Sus scrofa: one gene and its partners. Each later gene encodes a partner of the first gene's protein in a complex. Links are inferred from orthologs where the notes say so. Each region holds a gene or a part of one and is shown in the gene's direction. Other genes may lie near its edges. The genes, in order: GPSM2, INSC, FRMPD4 and NUMA1.

What was found.
Region 2: the proteins of GPSM2 (region 1) and INSC are in contact, whole or in part, in a crystal structure (PDB 3RO3), measured with the Mus musculus proteins. The link is inferred for Sus scrofa from reciprocal best matches to the Homo sapiens genes GPSM2 and INSC. Residues at the interface, in NP_083798.2 of Mus musculus: Asn210, Tyr213, Leu214, Phe218, Arg242, Ser246, Asn247, Asn250, Ile253, Phe254, Tyr265, Gln283, Tyr286, Ser287, Asn290, Thr291, Thr293, Leu294, Arg323, Trp326, Ser327, Asn330; in XP_006507722.1 of Mus musculus: Val72, Asp73, Ser74, Val75, Arg77, Trp78, Met79, Asp81, Leu82, Lys83, Leu84, Met85, Thr86, Glu87.
Region 3: the proteins of GPSM2 (region 1) and FRMPD4 are in contact, whole or in part, in a crystal structure (PDB 4WND), measured with the Homo sapiens proteins. The link is inferred for Sus scrofa from reciprocal best matches to the Homo sapiens genes GPSM2 and FRMPD4. Residues at the interface, in NP_001307967.1 of Homo sapiens: Leu25, Ala28, Leu29, Glu32, Asp57, Lys59, Thr60, Ser62, Ala63, Ile64, Ser66, Gln67, Asn70, Phe73, Tyr74, His85, Asp88, Ala92, Gly100, Lys103, Asn107, Asn110, Thr111, Lys113, His128, Arg143, Tyr146, Asn147, Asn150, His153; in NP_055543.2 of Homo sapiens: Gln988, Leu989, Leu990, His991, Ser992, His994, Met995, Glu996, Met997, Glu998, Pro999, Glu1000, Thr1001, Met1002, Glu1003, Thr1004, Lys1005, Ser1006, Val1007, Thr1008, Asp1009, Tyr1010, Phe1011, Ser1012.
Region 4: the proteins of GPSM2 (region 1) and NUMA1 are in contact, whole or in part, in a crystal structure (PDB 6HC2), measured with the Homo sapiens proteins. The link is inferred for Sus scrofa from reciprocal best matches to the Homo sapiens genes GPSM2 and NUMA1. Residues at the interface, in NP_001307967.1 of Homo sapiens: Ala28, Leu29, Glu32, Cys35, Lys36, Phe47, Lys59, Thr60, Ser62, Ala63, Ile64, Ser66, Gln67, Asn70, Ala71, Phe73, Asn110, Lys113, Tyr146, His153, Lys157, Pro164, Gln165, Arg203, Gly206, Asn207, Asn210, Tyr213, Leu214, Arg228; in NP_006176.2 of Homo sapiens: Ser1901, Phe1902, Tyr1903, Met1904, Gly1905, Thr1906, Cys1907, Gln1908, Asp1909, Glu1910, Pro1911, Glu1912, Leu1914, Asp1916, Trp1917, Asn1918, Arg1919, Ile1920, Ala1921, Leu1923.

Annotation. Positions count from the first base shown.
Region 1 is NC_010446.5:111,137,605-111,142,743, reverse strand, and holds part of GPSM2 (G-protein-signaling modulator 2), read left to right. Parts: intron 1-1,419; coding exon 1,420-1,641; intron 1,642-2,026; coding exon 2,027-2,162; intron 2,163-2,500; coding exon 2,501-2,643; intron 2,644-3,675; coding exon 3,676-3,799; intron 3,800-3,924; coding exon 3,925-4,040; intron 4,041-5,139. UniProt on the Homo sapiens protein: Plays an important role in mitotic spindle pole organization via its interaction with NUMA1. Required for cortical dynein-dynactin complex recruitment during metaphase. Plays a role in metaphase spindle orientation.
Region 2 is NC_010444.4:44,011,410-44,017,065, reverse strand, and holds the start of INSC (protein inscuteable homolog), read left to right. Parts: upstream 1-1,799; 5' UTR 1,800-1,892; coding exon 1,893-1,988; intron 1,989-4,268; exon of another isoform or gene 4,269-4,458; intron 4,459-5,656. UniProt on the Homo sapiens protein: May function as an adapter linking the Par3 complex to the GPSM1/GPSM2 complex. Involved in spindle orientation during mitosis. May regulate cell proliferation and differentiation in the developing nervous system.
Region 3 is NC_010461.5:8,623,173-8,628,964, forward strand, and holds the start of FRMPD4 (FERM and PDZ domain-containing protein 4), read left to right. Parts: upstream 1-1,866; 5' UTR 1,867-2,071; exon of another isoform or gene 2,072-2,184; intron 2,185-5,792. UniProt on the Homo sapiens protein: Positive regulator of dendritic spine morphogenesis and density. Required for the maintenance of excitatory synaptic transmission. Binds phosphatidylinositol 4,5-bisphosphate.
Region 4 is NC_010451.4:6,599,662-6,604,800, reverse strand, and holds part of NUMA1 (nuclear mitotic apparatus protein 1), read left to right. Parts: coding exon 1-84; intron 85-1,019; coding exon 1,020-1,142; intron 1,143-1,496; coding exon 1,497-4,856; intron 4,857-5,139. UniProt on the Homo sapiens protein: Microtubule (MT)-binding protein that plays a role in the formation and maintenance of the spindle poles and the alignement and the segregation of chromosomes during mitotic cell division.

The DNA of each region.
Region 1 (5,139 bases):
AAAATAAACATAAGTATCACATCAAACTGACATTTCATGAATACTGCTTCAGATGAAGCTAGGTTTTTTTAATAGCATGTGCGAATTTAAAAGAATTCACCAAACTATAGAGACATTTAAATGAGTGATTATATAGTACATAGACATGGCAGAAATCATGAAAATGTTGAAGAAGCACAACAGCAACTTTGGCAAAGGATACCTACTACAGCTTAGGATTAGAAACCAAAGTATTGGTGCTTTTTCTCCTGGATATATTTATAGTAAAATAATTTTTCTGGCTCTTAAGGTTCAAACTTTGAGCACTATGAGAATTATAATTTCTGTAAATCTTCAAAGCATTGCTTTCTAACATGAAGTTTCTTGACACTTGGGGGTCTCAAAGAAGTGTGCCTTGTGCATCAGAATATTTTTTTCCTCTGTCTTTCTAAAATATAGGTGATCCTGTGGTGGTAAGAAGAGGAAGGTGTGTGTGTTGTATGTGTGTTATGTATGTGTGTGTGTTAAAAGACTGAGTGTGTGCGCATGTACAGACACAAGAGTCTGAGATAGAGATGTGTGGTAGGAGGGGTTGATGTACTGGTTGCATAGATCACCTGGATAGAGAAGAGTATTTATTAGTTATGGGACTTCACCTACCACAGGTCCCTATTCTCCCCAATTCTCAGGAGGTCGGTAAGTCTGCTATGACAAAGAATCATTTAGGAAACACTGCTTTAGGTTCTCTCATTGGTAAAGTAGGTTGCTCTGGTTGGGCCAATTAAAATGAGCTCTCTTGATGAAAAATTAATCAGTGGATCTAAGAAAGAAATGGAGAATTTTATTCAAGCCCAACCGAGTGTTCTAACCCAGGAACTGCTCTCAGAAAGCTCTGGGAATTGTTCTGACCACTTGAGGTCAAAGCACAGTTATAGAAGTTTTTGAAACAGAGGACCATCCATTAGGTGACATAAGAGTGACATCTGACACAATCCATCCCTACACATGCAGAGCAAATAGCACAGGATTAAGAAGGAAAGTTCTCTCCTAAGGAGTTGTGACCCTTGGTGACATTAAGAAGGAACGTTGTCTCCTAAGGAGGTCTGGTTAACTCAGATACCCAACATGCTAAAGGGGCGGAAGGAGGCCCTTTAAATTTTTCCTATCTTGCCATAAAATAAATTTTATTTCATTAGCTCCATATAGAGATATTTAGCTATCCTATACCAAAGACCTTTTTGGTTCAGAGGCATTTGACGATGCAAATTAGCTTTTGCTGTAAATAGTAGTTTTTATCAATAATATATATATACTTCAATTATAGAGGCAGCTATTCTAAGCAAGAGTAGCCATGGTTCACATTTAAATTATTTTCTGGAAGTTAAGAACACTGTGGTGCAGTTGCAATGTTGTAAATGTTTGTCTTATATAATTTTATAGAATGGAAGCTTCTTGCCTAGAACTGGCCTTGGAAGGGGAGCGTCTGTGCAAATCAGGAGACTGCCGTGCTGGTGTGTCATTCTTTGAAGCTGCAGTTCAAGTTGGAACTGAAGACCTAAAAACCCTTAGTGCTATTTACAGCCAGCTGGGCAATGCTTATTTCTATTTGCATGATTATGCCAAAGCATTAGAATACCATCATCATGATTTAACTCTTGCGAGGTAATTAATGTCAGCTTTTTCATACTCTTTCTCCCTAAATTAACTGTCACTTTAAAAGACACTTTCATTCAATTAAAAAAAAAAAAAAAAGCTAACAATGCATTTTGTGAGTTCTGATTCATTGGCATTGCATTGTAAAACTAATCTTTAGGCTGAACAGTTTAATTAAAAGCAGATCACTAGTGGTGAAATGACCCTAAAGTTTAATTAAATGAATGCAAATTAAATTTAAATATAGAAATGTAAGTTTAAAATTTTTGTTTAAAGTAGGTTTCAAGGCTAATGGGTCTCTCTTACTTTTAGCATGTCATTTGTTCTCTAGGGAAAACTGGATTCTGGCTGGTTAATATCTTCACACACTATCTTCTTTTCTTCTTTTCCCCAGGACTATTGGAGACCGGTTGGGGGAAGCCAAAGCTAGTGGCAATCTGGGAAACACCTTAAAGGTTCTTGGGAATTTTGATGAAGCGGTGGTTTGTTGTCAGCGACACTTAGATATTTCCAGAGAGCTAAATGACAAGGTAATGAGGCAGTATTAGATGGTAGGCCAGAAAGTTTCATTGAAATTGCTTTGCATTTCAGTCCCATTTAATCATTCTGTAGTTTATCTAAAAGTTAATGCCAGAAAGAAAGTATTTGTAGAAAAATGGAAGAAAAAGAGAGATGTAATAAAAATTTTTTGAGATGAGAAAAAGGAAATAGTGACAAGTCCTTCTTTCACAGGTCATATGGATGGCTAATGTAAACATTTCTTTCTCTTGACCGTCAAATCAAGGATATTATAAATAAATATATGTGATAAGCATTATAATTCCTGGCCTCTGGGTTCAAAATGTAAACTACTCATATCTTCATCTAGGTAGGAGAAGCAAGAGCACTTTACAATCTTGGAAATGTGTATCATGCCAAAGGGAAAAGCTTTGGCTGCCCTGGTCCTCAGGACGTAGGAGACTTTCCAGAAGAAGTCAGAAACGCTCTGCAGGCAGCAGTGGATTATTATGAGTGAGTAGCACTGATGCAGCCATGTGGCCCACCCAAGCCAGTAGTTAAGTTTTTAAGTCTGGCAAGGGCTGTAAAGTATGGACTAGCAAGTAAACCATCAAAATGTTTTCAAAATGTTACAATGTTATATTAGTAGCAAACCCCTTCTTCTGCAGGAAAACTTTAAACTGCAGACCAGCGCCACTTAGTGGTACAAATGAGAAATATCACTGGTTAGTCTCAGTTATTTAAGACTAAGTTTCATCTTTTATCTATACAATTTCGTAAGACTTCTTAGCTATAGGGGTCTAATGACATTAACACTGTCCTGGACTCTGGGCAGAAACCTACACATACGCACATATATTTTCTTTCTTTTTCTTTTTTTCTTTTTTTGTCTTTTTAGGGCTGCATCTGCAACATATGGAGATTCCCAGGCTAGGGGTCTAATTGGAGCTGTAGCCGCCAGCCTACGCTAGAGCCACAGCAATGTCAGATCCAAGCTGCATCTGCGATCTATGCCACAGCTCACAACAATGCCGGATCCTTAACACTCTGAGCGAGGTCAGGGATCGAACCTGTGTTTTCATGGATGCTAGTTAGATTTGTTTTTGCTGAGCCATGATGGGAATTCCACAATTATTCCACTTTAGTAACTGAATTTAGTTCCAGAAAGACTTCTGACCATTTACAGATGAACTCTACCCAAAGAATAAAGGAGCAACAGAAATTGACATAACATTGTAAATCAGCTGTATCTTTAAAACATGGTACATTATGGCTGTACGCTTATTTAAATTTTTTTTCCTGATACAAACTGTTAGATTTGGGAGTTCCTGCTGTGGCACAGTGGGTTCATGATCCAGCTTGTCTCTGTGGGTTAAGGATCCGGTGTTGTTGCACCTGTGATGTAGATTTTGGCAACCTGACTTGGGAACTTCCACATGCTGCAGATGCAGCCAAAGCAGGAAAAACAAAAGTTTTATATTTGTAAGTAAGATCAATCAATGTTTTTCTCAAATGTATTTTTTCTCACTTTTTGTTATCATGTAGGGAAAACCTATCACTGGTGACTGCTTTGGGTGACCGAGCAGCCCAAGGACGTGCCTTTGGAAATCTTGGAAACACACATTACCTCCTTGGCAACTTCCGGGATGCAGTCATAGCTCATGAGCAGGTACAGTGCAGGGCTTTGGAGCCAGGTCATTTTCTCCATCAGAATTTTGAACCATGATTAGATTATTCTTTAGTTTTTTGTGTATTTTTTTAATAGTTATATCTAATTAAAATTTTCTGTTTCAGCGTCTCCTTATTGCAAAAGAATTTGGAGATAAAGCAGCTGAAAGAAGAGCCTATAGCAACCTTGGAAATGCATATATATTTCTTGGTGAATTTGAAACTGCCTCTGAATACTACAAGTTAGTCAAACATTTCTGTAGATAAATGTAAAATGACTAGTTATGCAATCCACCCGGTAAATCATAGGCTTTAGATTTAAAGCCTTTTTGCTGCATATGAGCAGCAGGACCTTGGGCTTTCTGAGTCCTGATTTTCTCAGCTGTAACAGAAGATACCCATACTTCACTTTGGGGATTGTTGTGAGGGTTGGATGAAAGAATATATTAAGCACTTATTTAGCACAGTACCTGGTACACGGTGCTTAGTACATATTGCTGTACCTAAGATTTAATAGCAGCAGTATGGCCTCTTTACGTTTTAATTAATTTTTATCTTTAATTGTTTTAAAATGAGATTCTAAACTTTTAAAGTTTTATGAACTTGTTTAGCATATGTGGTGTGTATATTTATATCCAACCCCCCTCCAATTATAGTTTGGGTAAGAAAGTTTCCACCAGTGATCACTGAATTTTCCCCATCATCCTACCATCATATCGAGTTCTTCTGCCACCTTCTCTGCCCATGTTTGCTCCTTGCAACAAGCTGAGTTAGCACTCCCAGCTTCTTGGCAGGCAGGGTCTTTCTAACCTGTCAGTAGGTGGGAAAAGTACATGATAGCCAAGTTGAGACTGCTTCATATTGCCTGCTCTATGCTTTCTAGGTTGTTCAGTTTTCCCTAATTACCAGGAATTGAAGGCTTTTACAGACCTTAGACAAAAGCCAGTTTGACTGAACCAAAGACACAGTGACTGATTTATATTTTGTGGTTTAAAAAAATCCAATGTGAGAGAGTTCTGAAAAGTTTATCATCTAAACAAAGGTAAAATTGCTTTAGGTCCGTCTAACTAGAATGTCATCCCATCCTTCAACTAATGGTTGATACTCGTTGGTTGGCTAGTTAGATGTGAAGTATCCTTTTTTTTTATTTTTTTTTTTTTTTTTTTTTTTTTTATTTATTTTTTTTTTTTTTTTTTTTTTTGTTTTCTTATTTCTTCCGTCCACGTATGAGTTCCGTAGTCGAATCAGAGCTGTAGCCACCAGCCAGAGCACAGCAATGCGGATCGACCGCGTCTGCACCTACACCACAGCTCACGGCAACGCGATCGTTACCCACTGAGC
Region 2 (5,656 bases), on another chromosome or scaffold:
AGTGGTTCTCAGAGCAAGAGTCCTAGGCCAGCACCATCCTTATCTCCTGGAACCTCTTGGACATGCAAATTCTTAGGCTCAGGGTGTCTCCCCCTCTTAGAGCCACTGCCTAACCACAGGACTCCGGAGGCAATTGTAGGAGTTAAGTCTGGAAAAACTCCTTTCTAATGCAAATGCCTTCAAGGCTGCCATGCTGAGCTGTCCTTGGGTCACAGAATGGAGGGGCTTGTGACAGCAGGAACAGTTGGGGAATTCTGGGATGGGGATGGGGTGGGAAACCGTGAGAGACAATAGAGATCGCCCTGGCTATAGTAGGCCTTCCTGGGCATTCTCTACTGGGGCTGCTGGGGAGGAAGCTGAGGGCCAGCACGGCCCCTGCTGGGAGATGTCCAGCTTAGCCTAGAGACTTCCAGCAGTAGATTAATTCCCGGAGTGCTAAATCCTTCTGTTCTCTTCTTTTGCCGGCCTATTCCCCCAGTGCCCAGGGCTCTGTCTTTTATCAGGGCCCTGACCCGTCATGGGTCCATGCCCTCCCTCCACAGTCTTGCCACCTCTTGGCAGTGTGGCTCCAGCTCCCTCTGGCAATCCATGCTCTGTTCTGCCAAGGCCCGGGCTCATGTGCCATGACATGTCCTGCGGGTCCTGTGCAGCCTCATCTGGGCCTCGGGGCTAGGAGCTCTCCTCGGCCAGCCCCTGACGGTGCCCAGAGTCTTTGAACCTGCATCATTCATGATCCCTTCCAAAGAGCATCTGAGACTTCTTCCAGTGACCATGTGGGCTATGCTGGGCAAACTGGATTTGGAGCTGAGGCTGGCTGACTGTAAACCTGAAATCTGCCCTCCAGTTAGATCTAGTGTGTCCTTCCTGAAGTAACCTGTGAAGTCAGTGGAGCGGGAATGGGCCATTTGAGAGGGAAGAAGAACATAGGGTTAGGCTAGAGGGGACCTTTGCCTGACGCAGATCTGGACCATTCCTGTGGCTTCTAGTTTGGTAGGGGAAACTTTCTGTGGTTGTGCCCCTCCATGCATGTGTTTCTTTATCTGTGTGTCTCCCTGTTCCCCCATGAGAGCTCCCATGCATATCTGTGTAGGACCTCCCTTCATCTCGCAAGCTGAGGCCACAGGTGGTGATTTAAACCATCTGGCCTCCACTTTCCTTGTCTGTATAATGGGAGTAGGAATAACTTCCACCACAAGTTACTATGGTGGCAAAATGACAATGCAAAATGCCCCTGAGTGTGGTTTCTGTGCTCGTGTGTTAGGCTATTAATACTAGTTGCCTAATGCGAGTTGCTTCACCTCCCTGTGCCTCAGTTTGCTCGCATGCAAATTAGGGCTAAGAGCTAAGTCGTCCTCGAACCCAGTGGCATCTTGAGGATTTGGGAAGTTGATACCTACGAAAAGCTTTGCATGATGCAATAAATGCCAGTGATTATAGTGCGTATTATCTTTCTGTGTCTGTCTCTGGGTGAGCCTCTCTGAGTTTGTGAAGGACAGGGCACGTGTGTCTGCTGCGTGCGTACTCATGTATGTGAACATGAGTGTGTCTGTGTTTATAGGGCCAGGCAGGCCTCCTGTCTCTGGGTGGAGTCTGCTGTTGGCCCAAGCCTGGACTCTCTGAGCCAGCCAGGGCCGGTGCTGGGGATGGAATTTCCATTAAGAATTAAGCAGGACAGTGCTGGGAAGCCAGGCAGGCAGAGGGGAGGGGGTCGAGGGGGAGGATGCTCCACCTCTGAGCTCCCTCCACAGCCTCAGCTCTGAGCTGCCTTGGAGAAGGTCTCTTCCACCTTTGCCTGGGATCGCAGGCCTTGCTGGGGCCATGGCCCAGGATGGGCAAGGAGATAGGAGTTGCCTGCAGGGGCTTCTGTAAGGAGACTTGGATTTGCTGCAGCCATGAGGAGGCCCCCTGGGAATGGAGAGATGGCCAGCAAGGGTATAAGCGGCTGGGGCCTATGGGGCCGACAAGAGCCCAGGAGGCTGTGCTGTACTGTATGTATCTGGGAACATGGATGGGTATGTGTGTGCACGTGGGCGTGTGTACATGCATGAGTGTGTGAGTGTATTCATGAATGCAGGGAGGAGGACATCCATACCAAGTGTCCTAAGGGACCATCTAGCAAACCAAGTCTGTTCCTGTCTTGTCCTGAAACTCAGGCACCGAATTTGGACCTGGAAATGAAAGATCCTTGAGGCTTTTTTGCTAATACTGACTGTACTTATGATCTAAGCCTCATTCTATCTCAATCATACTGAAAAATACACCTTTCCAGAAACCTTTATATTCCCAGTCTCATGTTATTCTTTCAGTAATGTATTAGCTAGGCCGAGGTTATTATGATCCCCACTGAAAAACTGAGCCTCAGAGAAATTAAGTGACTTGTCCAAGGTCACACAGCTAGAAAGTAGTAGTGGCACAGAGTTCCCATTGTAGCGCAGTGGAAACAAATCCGACTAGGAACCATGAGGTTGTAGGTTCGATTCCTGAACTTGCTCAATGGGTTAAGGATCCCGTGTTAACGTGAGCTGTGGTGGAGGTCGCAGACACGGCTCGGATCTGCCATTGCTGTGGTGCTGGTGCAGGTGCCTGTAGCTAATTCTAGCTCTAATTTGACCCCTAGCCTGGAAACTGCTGTATGCCACGGGTGTTGTCCTAAAAAGCAAAAAAAAAAAAAAAAAAAAAAAAAAAAAAGCAAAGAGGCAGGATACAAAGTCAGTTTTCTTTGAGGAAAATGTCCAGGCTATACAGATGTTTTTTTTTTAAACACTACCTGTCTTACCAGAAATAGACTTGAAGATTCTGGAAACTTTACCTATTTGAGGAAGGCTATAGCTTCAGTGTTAATGCCCAGCCAGGTAGGTGCTGGGGGCCCAAACTGTGTTTCCAGGCCCTGAGACAGTCTTTGCTGAGGTAGAAACTGAAGCCCCTCTCAAGAGTCTAGGGAGCAGATGAATGGATGGAGGCTGCAGTCAAGCTGGCTTGTCTGAAGGGAATGCCTTGGGCTCCTATAGAACCTGAGGTCCCCGGAAAGCTGAAGCAGTTTTGTTTGTTTGTTTGTTTGTTTTTGTCTTTTTAGGGCTGTACCGGAGGCATATGGATGTTCCCAGACTAGGGGTAGAATCTGAGCTGTAGCTGCCAGCCTATGCCACAGCCACAGCAACTCGGGATCCGAGCCACATCTGCAACCTATATCACAGCTCATGGCAATGCTGAATCCTTAACCCACTGAGCGAGGCCATGGATTGAACTTGTGCCCTCATGGATGCTAGTCAGATTTGTTTTTGCTGAGCCATGATGGGAATGCCTGAGGCAGTTGATTTAATGTCAGGAATTGCAATGTGTCCAGGGCCAGGAAGCAGGCATCCTTTTTAGCCAAGGCCTGAAAAAGGGAACAAGGACTTTATCATCAAGGAAGAGAGGCTGAGATGGGACTTTGGAGTGGTCATTGTGTCTTGGAGATGCAGCTGGTTTTCCTGTCCTGCAACACAATGTGCAAGAATATTGCACAGGAGGAGTTTGCACAGGAGGGATTTAGGTTAGACGCCAAGGAGAACTTCCTGCTGATGAACTGATTCAAGATTGGGGACAGTGCCCAAGGGAGGCTAAGGTCTGCTCTTCCTTGGAGATCCCCAAGAGTGGGTAGAGGCCCTCCAGGCCCCCTGCGGAATTCATGGCAGGGTGGAGGGAATTGGATGGAATGACCTTGCAGCCTCCTTCTAGCTCAAGAATGCAACATTCCTGAGCTTTTGGGTAGGAATCAGACTTCCTCTCTAGACTTGGCCATCTGATACAAAGAAGTCCAGAGGGAAAGTTTGATGTGCCTCAAGTTAGAAGGAGTCCCTACAAGCATCTTCTGTCCTTTTTGTCAGGTAGGCCGTCTTATGTGAGCAGCTCGGGTTCCAAAGGAAAGCACCTGCGGTGAATAAATCAAGCGGAATTCAGGAGTTTGGGGGGCGGCTCAAAGTTCAGAGGCTTCCCCCGCAGGGCTTGTGAACTGCACCCAAACCCCTCCTTGTTTTGTTTCAGCTCCAAGGGAAAGGATCGGCGCATTCCCTTCCCTCTCCAGATGTTGGCATGTGGGGCACATGTGGGCACCCCCGCCAGGACGGCTCCGAGGCTCCTAGTGAGCCAGGTCTCTAATTAGACCTGACCGCGTCCCCATTCCAGCGCTCCCCACAGCCAAGAGCGCGAGGTCTCCGCTGCCAGGGGCACCAAAATAGCTTCGCGGCCGGCTGAGACTCCAGGCATTGGTGGCTGACGCGGGACAGAGGCTTGGCCCGGAGCGCGCTGTTGCTGGCGGGCGGGGGCAGAGCGGGGCGGAGGCGCGGGGCAGCGGGCGGCCCTCGGGCTGGGCCGGCCGGGCGGGTCACTTGCTTACAGCCTCTGGCGCCCCAGCTGCGCCTGCCACCGCCGGCCTGGCCGCTGCACGCAGCTGCTCGCAGGCTCTCTCGCTCCGTCAGAGTAAGTAGGCGCGCTCCTGGACTGCATTCTGGGCCCAGCCTAGTCTGGGACAGAGCATGCTTGGGGACTATTCGGATTTAGGTGTAAGTGTGTCAGTGTGAGTGCTTGTGAGTGGGGGTGAACTTTAGTGGGAGGGAGTGTGTCTGGGCCAGTACCTGAGCATATGGAAGTTTCTAGCATATGTCCCAGAGAGTGAATATGGGTGAGAGTGTGTCAGTGTGTGTCTGGTGGACTTAGTGTAGGGGGGCCTGGAGTGTGCCCCCAGGTGGCATGTGTGTCAGGGTGGCACACGCTGTCCGTGTGGGCTGTGTCTGTATTCTTGGAAGTGCAGACTCAGGTGTGTGTGGTAGGCAGGCTCCACCAGGGCTGAGCAAGTGTGTATCAATGGCTGGATGCATGTGACTGAGCTGATGAAGGCAGAAGTTGGCGGGTAAGGAATGTTATCTGAACGCAAACTTTCTAGGGTGACCTGACTTGTCCCCAACTGGGGTGTCTTCTCTGTGGGTCATGTGGCTTTGGTTTCTCAGGACTCTGAGCAGGGCAGGAGCTCAGAGTCAACCCTAGAGTGAGTGGGGTTCTGAGCAAGCCCTGCTGGCTGGCCAGGGTCAGGGAGACAGCACAGAGATGGCCCCTTTGTCATGCCAGGAGGGGGCAGGAGGACAAGGGGATGAGCAGACTGCAAAGCCATGCCCACCCACAAACACTCAACCGGGGGGCCCACACCCACATGCTCACAGCTGCTCATGTGTGCACACCTTCCACCCTCTCAGGCCACTCCCACTCATGCTGTCTCAGGACAGCTGTGCAAACACTCATGCACTTTCAGCACGTACACCTGAGGACAGTGACACATGTGCAACAGGCACCTCCATGTGTCAAACATGCTTATACACACACATGCACCCCCTGGCCCGACTTGCAGCCTCTTAGGCCCGCTTTTTGGTTCCCTTTAGCCTACATATGGCACCTTGGACAAGTCTAAGATACTACCTTAAGAGCTATCTTAACATATCTGAAGTCAGGAGTTCCCATCGTGGTGCAGTGGTTAACGAATCTGACTAGGAACCATGAAGTCGCGGATTCCATCCCTGCCCTTGCTCAGTGGGTTAACGATCCGGCGTTGCGGTGAGCTGTGGTGTAGGTTGCAGATGCGGCTCGGACCCTGCGTTGCTGTGGCTCTGGCGTAGGCTGGCAGCTA
Region 3 (5,792 bases), on another chromosome or scaffold:
TGAAAAATGCCATCAGTAATTTGATAGGGATTTCATTGCATCTGTAGATTGCCTTGGGTAATGTAGTCATTTTGACAATATTGATTCTTCCAATCCAAGATCATGGTGTATCTTTCCATCTGTTTGTGTCATCTTTGATTTCTTTCAGCCACATCTTAAGGTTTTCAGAGTACAGGTCTTTTGTCTCTCCAAGAATTATTATTGACTTAAATAAGTGAAATTGGCAATTAAATGCAACAGGGATTCTCCTCAGGACAAAGTAAAATTAAGAACACATACATGCCTACAACACTAGGCATGTGTTTTCAAAAGAATAATCTCTCAATTTATTGTTTTCTCTTTCTCTTTATTGTTTTCTGCCATGTTTCTTGACTGTCTGTTCTAAGCAAATGATCACACATGGTTACCATTTCTTGGGTTACTTATCTTTTGCAGTCTGGTTGTAAGGAGAAGAACTTCTTGGTGGATAATTTTCTATGGGATCTTGGCCTGATGTTCACCTTTGTTTAGGGTGTATCTGGACTGCATAGTTGAAGCCATTCTATGACTCAGGTGACATTTGCAATCCTGAGTCATCTCTTGCCAGGCAGCTTTTTTTGATGCCAGAGAATGTCTCCTGATTATCATCAAAATTCCTTTTGCTTAGATATACTTGGTTTTCCTGGGAAAGAGAGTTGGCAACTTAGAGTAAGTTGGCACCTGAGTAGCCATTAGTAATATGTTCTTCTCCCTCTGGATGTCAGCTCCTTAAGATTCTGTGCCAGTCACACTTTAATGATATTTAAAAGAGATGAATTGTCTTGGAGAAATGTTTCTGTCTTGGAAGCATCTTATGAGGTTCTTGAAACCTGATGATAAATGAACTCACCAAAGAGATAAAAGTTTTAGATGTCAGTTGGGTTTTTCCTCAAGAAACTTAGGAATAGATGTTTTCTTCATTGCTGCAGGTGAGCTGGGATAAGCTTTAAGGGCTTTCTGTAAAGCTCAAATTCCTGGTTATTCTTGGGCATGAAAACAGATTAATCTTTCACTGCTGGTTTTTTTTTTTAATTGAAAAATTTACAAGATTCTCTAGTCACAGTTAAATCTCTGCCATGGGACTCTCAAACAACTTAAAGACGTTTAATGATTTTATTTCTTGGTATTAATTGTGGATATACAGTTGACCCTTGAATAATAGGGGTTTGAATTATGTGGGTCTTTCTTATACTGGATTTTCCCCAGTAAATGCATACTACAGTGCTGCATGATCTGCACTTGGTTGATTCTACAGACAAGGAACTGTGGACATGGAGGGCCGACTGTAAAGTTATATGCAAAGTTTTGACTTTACAGCACTCCTGAGAAAAAAGAGACAAATAGGTGAAGAGATATTATTAGGATTGTTAAAAGATAAACTGAGGCATATTAAAATTTTTAAAGAGTTTATTTGAGCAAAAATCAACTGGAATAGGGCAGTGCCAACCTGGAAATGATTAGGAGTACTCCGCCAACAGGAGCTCTTTTATAGAGTGAAAAGGGGACGCAGAGAAAAGAAAGTATTTATTGGCTGTTGCTTAGAGCCTAGTTGGCTGTTTGTGATTGGTTCTCCTTAGCATTTTAATTTCATACCCTTGAGGAACTTAAGAGCCTTAGGCTTAGATTTTGGTTTGCTTACCTCGGTTGCCAAGGCATTAGAGTCACCTCAGTCTAATGGCCTCTTTGTTTAATTAATTCAACAATTCCCCCTTTTTGATCATCTTCTCATAGGTGAGATACTGACCAAAAAATTAGTATTAGTGCCACTTTCAGTTGCCAATAGAGTTAAGTTGTTCTTGTCTCATTGTGAAACTTGTAGGTTATGATGTCTGATCTGCATAAGAATTATTTTTGCTACTCACCTCGTGTTTTATCTTGTTTCTGTTTCTCTAAGCTCAGTGAGACCATCTGATGCACTGCTGATGGCCGTGAACATGCATTTGAGACCTTGAGAGAACGTAGCACACCAGGGGGTCGACCGTGATGACTCTTAGGAGGATGGTACCAAGAGAGTAAAGTACACTCCTTCACCGGGGCCCCGTGGATCAAACCAGTTAGTGTCAGATAAATCAAAGAATGCACCTGAAGGGCCATCAACCTGTTTTAGCCAAGCGGCTCGTTTGTTGATTTCCTCTATTTGCTACGGTATGAGAGGTGTTGATCCAGGTACTGCAGGGGGTATTAGCTATGGCACAGAGTCCTCCTTGTTCAGCCAACAAGTAATCAAAAGCAATTCTGTTGTCTCAGCCTCCTTAGCAAGAAAGTCCAGGGACTTCCGCTGTGTAGCTATGACATTAGCAGCGATCACTGTCAGCGTTAAGGAGCATTGCCTCCCCACGCAGTGACAGAGAGAAAAAGCCAGTAGCGGGAAGGCACAAGGAATCCCGAGGTGAAGAGGCGATCTCATCCCGGAGATGAAGATCTTGAGCTGTCCCCCTCAAGATGCCATCTCTTCCGGGGAGGACCCTCCCTAGTCACTTTGAATGTCACATCTCCAGCTGGTGTGTGGGTAGTTCCAGGGGTCTGGGGAAGCCCTCTGTAAATGGGGAATGCGTACCTAGGTTCAGTCCCCTAAAATCTGGCTGCCATCTGGGTAGTGAGAAGGACGTGGTATCACCCCTTCCGAGGAGGTTCAAGGGCAGCCGTTGTTTTCAGGGATGCCTCATCAGAAGGGTGGGGGAAAACTGGAAGCACGAGTTTGGAGAGTCGTAGCCAGATGTTTGAGGAAACCAGAAGAATTTGGGACCCGGTTCAGTTTACAGGGTCACAGTTGTTTCCTCTCACCTCCATTAGTTCCAAGTAGTTTTAACTACATCACATATGTTTATTAGAATTCTTAATCCTTGGAATCCTTTATTCCTAGTGAAAACTAAGAAGTAAGCAGCGTGGACTGTTACACTAGCCTTCTGTGGATTGGCAAATTTATAAATATGTTTCACAATTTCCAGAAGTATATTCTTCCTCTTAGTAATTTTTCATTGTGGCACAAACATGTTTACTGAAAGAATCCAATAGCTTTAGTTCCTCTGTAAAAGAAAGCCCAAAGTGGATAAACCTATACTCAGTAATTAACGTTTCACTATTTTAACTTACTTGGAAATGATCTAGATATTCATTGAATAGCCATCATTTAACTAATCTCAGTATAACTTTAAAATTTTCAGTTGCCAAAAAGATTTTGGAAACTATTTTTTCCTCTTTTCCTTTCCATTCAAGTATAGTTGGTTTACAATGTTGTGTTAGTTTCTGGAGTATAGCAAGTGACTCAGTTTTATATAGAGATATAGATATGTATATAGATATTATAGATATGTATATAGATATTATATATGTATATACATATATATGCTATATATTCTTTTTTGGATTCTTTTCCATTTTTCGTTATTACAAGATACTGAATATAGTTCCCTGTGCCAGTCAGACCTTGTTGTTTATCTATTTTATGTATAGTCGTGTGTGCCTGTTAATCCCAAACTCCTAATTTATTCCTTCCCCACCCCTTTCCCCTTTGGTAACCTTAAGTTTGTTTTCTATATATGAGTCTGTTTCTATTTTGTAAATAAGTTCATTTATATCATTTTTTATATTCCACATATAAATGATATCATATGATACTTGTTTTTGTCTGACTTACTTCACTTTGTATGATTATCTCTAGTTGCATCCATGTTGTTGCAAATGGCATTATTTTGTTCTTTTATATGGCTGGGTAGTATTTCATTGTAGATATGTACCACATCTTTATCCATTCATCTGTCAATGGACATTTCTCTTTATCCATTCATCTGTCAATGGACATTTCGGTTGTTTCCACCTCTTGGCTATTGTAAGTAGTGCTGCTTTGAACCTTGGGGGTGCATGTATCTTTTTGAGGTATTTGATTTTGTGAGTGCAATTTTAAAAGGTAACATGTATCTTTTTGAATTAAGAGTTTTCTTTGTCTAGATGCCCAGGAGTGGGATTGCTGACCACGTGATAACTCTGTTTTTAGTTTTTAAAGGAACCTCCATACCTCCACAGTAACTATGGAAACTGTTTTTAAGAAGACATGCCATAAAGCAAGATTATTGCTGAAAAGTACATTTACAAACTTTTATCTTACTAATACTTCTTTAATTGGCTTGTTCTTAACAATTATGTTTAGATTACTCATGAAAATTTCATGAGACATTGAATAGCCAGCTGTCATCTTAAGTTACCTTTCCTGCTGACAAATTATGTAACAGAGATTATATGACCTTATTTGACTTTGGTTAACCTAGGGAGGATAAAAGTATTCTAGTTAATGGTAATAACGCTAAAGACATGCCTGTTTTAATGAAACCAACAAACTTAAATGAGCTTTAATTTATCACAGATTGTCCTAGATCACATGAACTTGAAAAACACTAGTGCTGGTTTTTATATTTCTGAGCATATACTTGATGTATATAATTTGTTTTGTTTTTAAGCCTATTAAATAGAGCTCCTTACAAATTAATTTTAGCTGTGCCATCCAGAGGTAGAAAAATATCCCACATCTGTCACATACATACATAAAAAGACAGACAGATGCAGAGATCTTAGAGCTTTTCTTTCAAATTTTTAGCCATGAGATAGATACAGTGATGCAAAGCCTACTAGTTTATAGAAGCATGGTTGGATACAAATTGTATTTCTGGCAGATAGAATAAGTTAAGGTTACCTGCTCAGATGGCTAAAGCTTGTATTGATATTTGTGGGGAAAACCTTTAAGATTTTTCATTCACCTCAGTTCCAAAGAGCGGTTTATCCTTCCCCTCCTCCTCCTCCTCTCTCTCTCCTCCCTCTCCTCCCCTCCCCCTCCTCCTGATAAGAATTATCTGCCTCAAATTTGCATACCATGACTTGGTTCTGGGTTCCTAGAGACCAGGTAGAACATTTATATCTCACATTTCTCCAAGAAGGGTTTTTACTTTCCAAATCCACCTATTTTTTTTTTTTTTTTTTTTTTTAAAGCATCTGCAAGCCTTTTGATGTGAGTAGGAGAGACTGGGGATTGGTTAAAAAGGCCAGGCAGGCTTTGAATTGTTTCTAGAGCTGCATTTCCGTTCTTGTAAAAACACAATCTCTAAGACAAGTACAGTTGTGTTGCAATCCGCATGGCATCTAGACTTTGACCCAGCCATCCAACTACTTTTTCCTCGATTTGCATCTTTACATTAGGGGGAAAATCTTCTACTAAGATGGGAATCAAGAGATTCCTATGTTCTGGATTTTGAACTCTGTGTCTTCAGAACACTTTAGTAAACCCTTCCACCATGGCTTCAGAATATTTTTCTTTCCCTTTCGGCGCATAGTGCTTAGTGCAGAAGGCCTTTAAAAAGTGCCTGTCAGGCGCTGAATATCAGCTTTCAATTTGGCCAGCTGCTAACCATACAGCTACTTTAAAAAAAAAATCCTTTTGAGGATCTTGTCCAGTTTCAGCTGGGTCAAGCAGTGAACATTCCTGGCAGTATTGAAAACCACATGGATGCAGGAGGAGGTCTCAGAGAGGGTGCCCAAAACACCACCCTCCAGGATCCAGAGCCATTCCCTACAATAACCAAAAGAAAGAAAGATTTAGATAGTTCCCTTGACAGTTGGCAACAGTTGGTATTTCTGTCTAGCTGTATGTTTGAGGTCTGCAACCTGTTAGTTGCCAAGCCAAGTTCTCGGGACACAAATTGAGATAAACAAGAAGGCAGTAGCTCTCCCTGGGAGGGAAAGGACCCATCACCAATGTGTTTTCCTGCCATTGTGGATTTGGAAAG
Region 4 (5,139 bases), on another chromosome or scaffold:
GACGAGCACAGCAAGGCCTCTCGGGAGTGGGTGGAGAAGCAGGCCCAGCTGGAGAAGGAGCTCGGCGCAGCTCTGCAGGACAAGGTAACCCTGCCTTCGGGAGTCAGGGCCACCATCTGAGCCACGCTCGGAGCCGGTTCCGTGTACGCTCTACCGCATGGGGCCTTTGGGGACTACCCTGCCCTCGCTTTGGGGCTTGGTAGCGTGCTCTAGTGGCCTCAGGCTGGTCCACCCGCAAGTCTTGTTTTGTCCGCTGTTCACAAGGTGAGACCTTGCACAAGTTTCTTGCCCTCTTTCTCTCTAAGCACCTTTCCCTAAAATGGGAAAAAGCCTGGGCAGCTTCCTCGGTGTCCGTGGTAAGCCAGTGCATACGAGCACTTGATGCGCATTGCCCGCTGGTGCGCCTTCAGTGACTTCGCTGTGGTTATTTTTGCTGTGAAGAGCTCAGCTCTGCCGCTCACTAAGAACCACGTAGCCCTGGGGCAGGGCCCCTAACATCCGGCTTCAGATGCTTTCTCTGTAAAGAAGGGCTTGTAGTTGCTACCTCCCAAGTCCGATGGGTGGCTTAGGACGTCAGAGACGCAGCCAGCACGGGGCCTGGTCATTGTAGGCGCTTAGTGACCAGTGGGACAAAGGGGATGGGGTTGCTGTGGCCGTGCTGCCGTTGATGCTCAGATGGTCAGGATGTTTTGAAGCTGGTGGGGGTTTGGATACTCTGAGAGCCAGAGCGTGGCAGAGGAAGGGTGTACAGTGAGGAAATTTGAAATAAACTCGGCAGCCTTGGAGAAGAAGCAGCAGCAGGTCATCTGACTTAATCCTCCTCTGGCACCAGGACTGGGAAGTCGGGTCTCCCGTGGACCTAGATCCTTGCTTTCTGCCCGTTCCCCCGGGTGAGGGCCAGAGGTGGTCCTGGTAGCCAGGCGATAGGGTCCCAGATTCTATTGCTGTTCTTGGGGCTTGTGTGCTCGTCTGCCGCTTCTTGCACGTCTATTCACACGGGGGCTCTTGTTTACTCCCAGAAATGCCTCGAGGAGAAGAATGAAATCCTTCAGGGAAAACTCTCACAGCTGGAAGAACATTTGGCCCAGTTGCGGGAGAACCCACCCCGGGAGAAGGGTGAGGTGCTGGGCGACATCTTGCAGGTAGGGTGAGGGGGTCTGTGTGCTGGGGTGCACGTGGGGGTGTCTTTGTGCTGGGGTGCAGGCGGGGGCTCTGTGCTGGGGTGCATGTGGGGTGTCTTTGTGCTGGGGTGCAGGTGGGGGCTCTTTGTGCTGGGGTGCATGTGGGGGTGTCTTTGTGCTGGGGTGCAGGCGGGGGGCTGTGTGTGCTGAGGTGCATGTGGGGGCATCTTTGTGCTGGGGTGCAGGCGGGGGCTCTGCTGGGGTGCTGTGGAGCCATGTTCATCATGTTCAGGTTCCTGGACCATCTCAGTCCCCAGAGGGGCCAAGGGGACTGAGGAGTCATGCTGATGCCCACTTGTCTCTTTATCTCACCAGCTGGAAACTCTCAAGCAAGAGGCAGCCACTCTGGCTGCAGATAACACTCAGCTCCAGGCCAGGGTGGAGGCGCTGGAGACCGAGCGGAGCCAGCGGGAGGCCAAGCTACTTGCTGAGCGGAGCCACTTTGAGGAGGAGAAGCAGCAGCTGGCCGGCCTGATTGCCGAGCTCCAGGGCTCCCTGTCCAGCCTCAGCCGGGCCAAGGAGGAACTGGAGGAGGCGTCTCAGGCGCAGGGGGCCCGGCTGTCTGCCCAGGCGGCCGCGCTGACCTCTGAGCTCGAGGCCCTCAACGCTGCCCTCCAGCAGCGGGATCAGGAGCTGGCCAGCCTGAAGCAGCAGGCCCAGACAGAGCAGGCGCAGCTGGCACACTCCCTCCAGCAGCAGGAGCAGGCCTCGCAGGGCCTCCGCCAGCAGGTGGAGCAGCTGAGCAGCAGCCTGAAGCAGAAGGAGCGGCAGTGGGAGGAGGCTGCTAAGGAGCAGGAGGCCGCCCGGCGAGAGCACGCCCAACAACTGGCCGCCGTGGCCGAGGAGCGGGCCGCAGCCCGCCAGCAGCTGGAGGCGCTGGAGAAGGAGAAGGCTGCTGCGCTGGAGGTCCTGCAGCAGCAGCTTCAGGTTGCCAGTGAGGCCCGAGACGGCGCCCAGACCTCGGTGGCACAGGCCCAGCGGGAGAAGGCCGAGCTGAGCCAGAAGGTGGAGGAGCTCCACGCCTGCGTGGAGGCGGCCCGCCAGGAGCAGTGTGAGGCCCAGGCCCAGGTGGCGGAACTGAAGGCCCAGCTGAGGTCTGAGCAGCAGAAAGCGACTGAGAACGAGAAGATGGTCCAGGAGCAGGTCCGGGCCCTCGAGGAGTCCTTGAAGGTCGGCCAGGGCCGCCTGGAGGAGGAGACGCGCAGGGCCGCGGGCGCCCTGGAGGAGCAGCAGCGCTGTATCTGCAGGCTGGAGGCCGAGACCCGGAGCCTGGCCGAGCAGCGCAAGCAGGAACAGAAGGAGCTGGAAGAAGAGAAGGCTGGGCGCAAGGGGCTGGAGGCCCGATTGCAACAGCTCGGGGAGGCCCATCAGGCCAAGACAGAAGCCCTGCGGCAGGAGCTGGCCGAGGCCCTGGCCTCCCGGCGCGAGGCTGAGAGCGAGTGTGAGCAGCTCGCCAAGGAGGTGGCTACCTGGCGGGAGCGCTACGAGGACAGCCAGCAGGAGGAGGCGCAGTACGGCGCCATGGTCCAGGAACAGCTGCTGACTCTGAAGGAGGAGTGCGAGAAGGCCCGCCAGGAGCTGCAGGAGGCCAAGGAGAAGGTGGCAGGGATCGAGGCCCACAGCGAGCTCCAGATAAGCCGCCAGCAGAGCGAGCTCGCTCAGCTCCACGCCAGCCTGGCCAGGGCTCTGCAGCAGGTCCAGGAGAAGGAGGCCCGGGCCCAGAAGCTCGCAGACGACCTCTCCGCTCTGCAGGAGAAGATGGCGGCCACCAGCAAGGAGGTGGCCCGCCTGGAGGCCTTGGTGCGCAAGGCAGGCGAGCAGCAGGAGCCGGCCTCGCGGGAGCTGCTCCAGGAGCCGCCCAGGGCAGGGGACAGAGAGTCAGAGTGGCTGGAAGAGCAGAAGGGCCGCCCCTTCTGCAGCACGCAGGCGGCCCTGCAGGCCATGGAGCGAGAGGCAGAGCAGATGGGCAGCGAGCTGGAGAGGCTGCGGGCTGCGCTGATGGAGAGCCAGGGGCAGCAGCAGGAGGAGCGTGGGCAGCAGGAGAGGGAGGTGGCGCGGCTGACCCAGGAGCGGGGCCGGGCTCAGGCCGACCTTGCCCTGGAGAAGGCCGCCAAGGCGGAGCTTGAGATGCGGCTGCAGAACGCCCTCAATGAGCAGCGGGTGGAGTTTGCCGCCCTGCAGGAGGCACTGGCCCACGCCCTGAGGGAAAAGGAAGGCAAGGACCAGGAGCTGGCCCAGCTTCGCGAGCAGGAGGCGGCCCAGGGGGCAGCGCTGAAGGACCTTCGGCAAACCGTGGAGCACCTGAGGGAACAGCTGGCCGAGAAACAGGAGGCGCCCCCGCAGTGTCCAGGGACCGCCGGCCGAGAAAATGCTCCTGGGTTGGGAGCCCAGTCCGAGGCCACTGGAAAGACCGAGCAAAAAGGCCCTGAGCTGGAGGTCCTGCGGGCAGAGGTGGGCAGCCTGGAGCAGCAGGTCCGCGAGCATCAGGAGAAGGCCTCCAGCCTGGAGCGCAGCCTTGAGGCCGAGCGCGCCTCCCACGCCGAGCGGGCCAGCGCTCTGGAGACGCTGCGGGGCCAGTTGGAGCAGAAGGCCCAGGAGCTGGGGAGCACTCAGGACGCCTTAGCCTCAGCCCAGAGGGAGCTGGCCGCCCTCCGCGCCAAGGCCCAGGAGCACAGCACGGCCGAGGAGGAGTGGAAGGCCCAGGTCACGCGGGGCCAGCAGGAGGCCGAGCGGAAGAGCAGCCTCATCAGCAGCCTGGAGGAGGAGGTGTCCATCCTGAACCGCCAAGTGCTGGAGAAGGAGGGCGAGAGCAAGGAGTTGAAGCGGCTGGTTGCCGCTGAGTCGGAGAAGAGCCAGAAGCTTGAGGAGAGGCTGCGCCTGCTCCAGGCGGAGACAGCCAGCAGCAGCGCCAGGGCTGCGGAACGAAGCTCGGCTCTGCGGGAGGAGGTGCAGACCCTCCGGGAGGAGGCAGAGAAGCAGCGGGTGGCTTCCGAGAGCCTGCGGCAGGAGCTGGCCTCGCAGGCAGAGCGAGCGGAAGAGCTGGGGCAAGAGTTAAAGGCCTGGCAGGAGAAGTTCTTCCAGAAGGAGCAGGCCCTCTCCGCCCTGCAGCTCGAGCACACCAGCACGCAGGCCCTGCTGAGCGAGCTGCTGCCCGCCAAGCACCTGTGCCAGCAGCTGCAGGCCGAGCAGGCAGCCGCTGAGAAACGCCATCGGGAGGAGCTGGAGCAGAGCAAGCAGGCCGCCGGGGGGCTGCGGGCGGAGCTGATGCGGGCTCAGCGCGAGCTTGGGGAGCTGGTGCCCCTGCGGCAGAAGGTGGCAGAGCAGGAGCGAGCGGCCCAGCAGCTGCGGGCAGAGAAGGCCAGCTACGCGGAGCAGCTGAGCATGCTGAAGAAGGCTCACGGCCTGCTGGCGGAGGAGAACCGGGGGCTGGGCGAGCGGGCCAGCCTCGGCCGGCAGTTTCTGGAAGTGGAGCTGGACCAGGCCCGGGAGAAGTATGGTCAAGAGCTGGCCGCTGTGCGTGCTGACGCTGAGACCCGTCTGGCTGAGATGCAGCGCGAAGCGCAGAGCACTGCCCGGGAGCTGGAGGTGATGACTGCCAAGTACGAGGGTGCCAAGGTCAAGGTCCTGGAGGAGAGGCAGCGTTTCCAGGAGGAGAGGCAGAAACTCACTGCCCAGGTGAGGCCCCCGGCTCAGCTGCACCCGCAGAGAGCAGCGCGGAGAGGGGGAGTTGGTCCCTCTGCGCCCCTGGGCCTCCGGTGCTCTCGTTAGCGCGAGCGCCTCGTCCCCCCTCACCGGGGGAGAAGCCCGTGCCCTCCGTTGTCCTGCAGAATGTAGCCGTAGCTCCCCTTCCCGAGAGCTCTGCCCCTGCGGAGTCAGGATGTGAAGGAGGTGCAGGCCACCAGCCCATTGAGGCCACGAGGAGGCACCTGCACTGGAGGCCCCATGAGCCGCTGGGGGC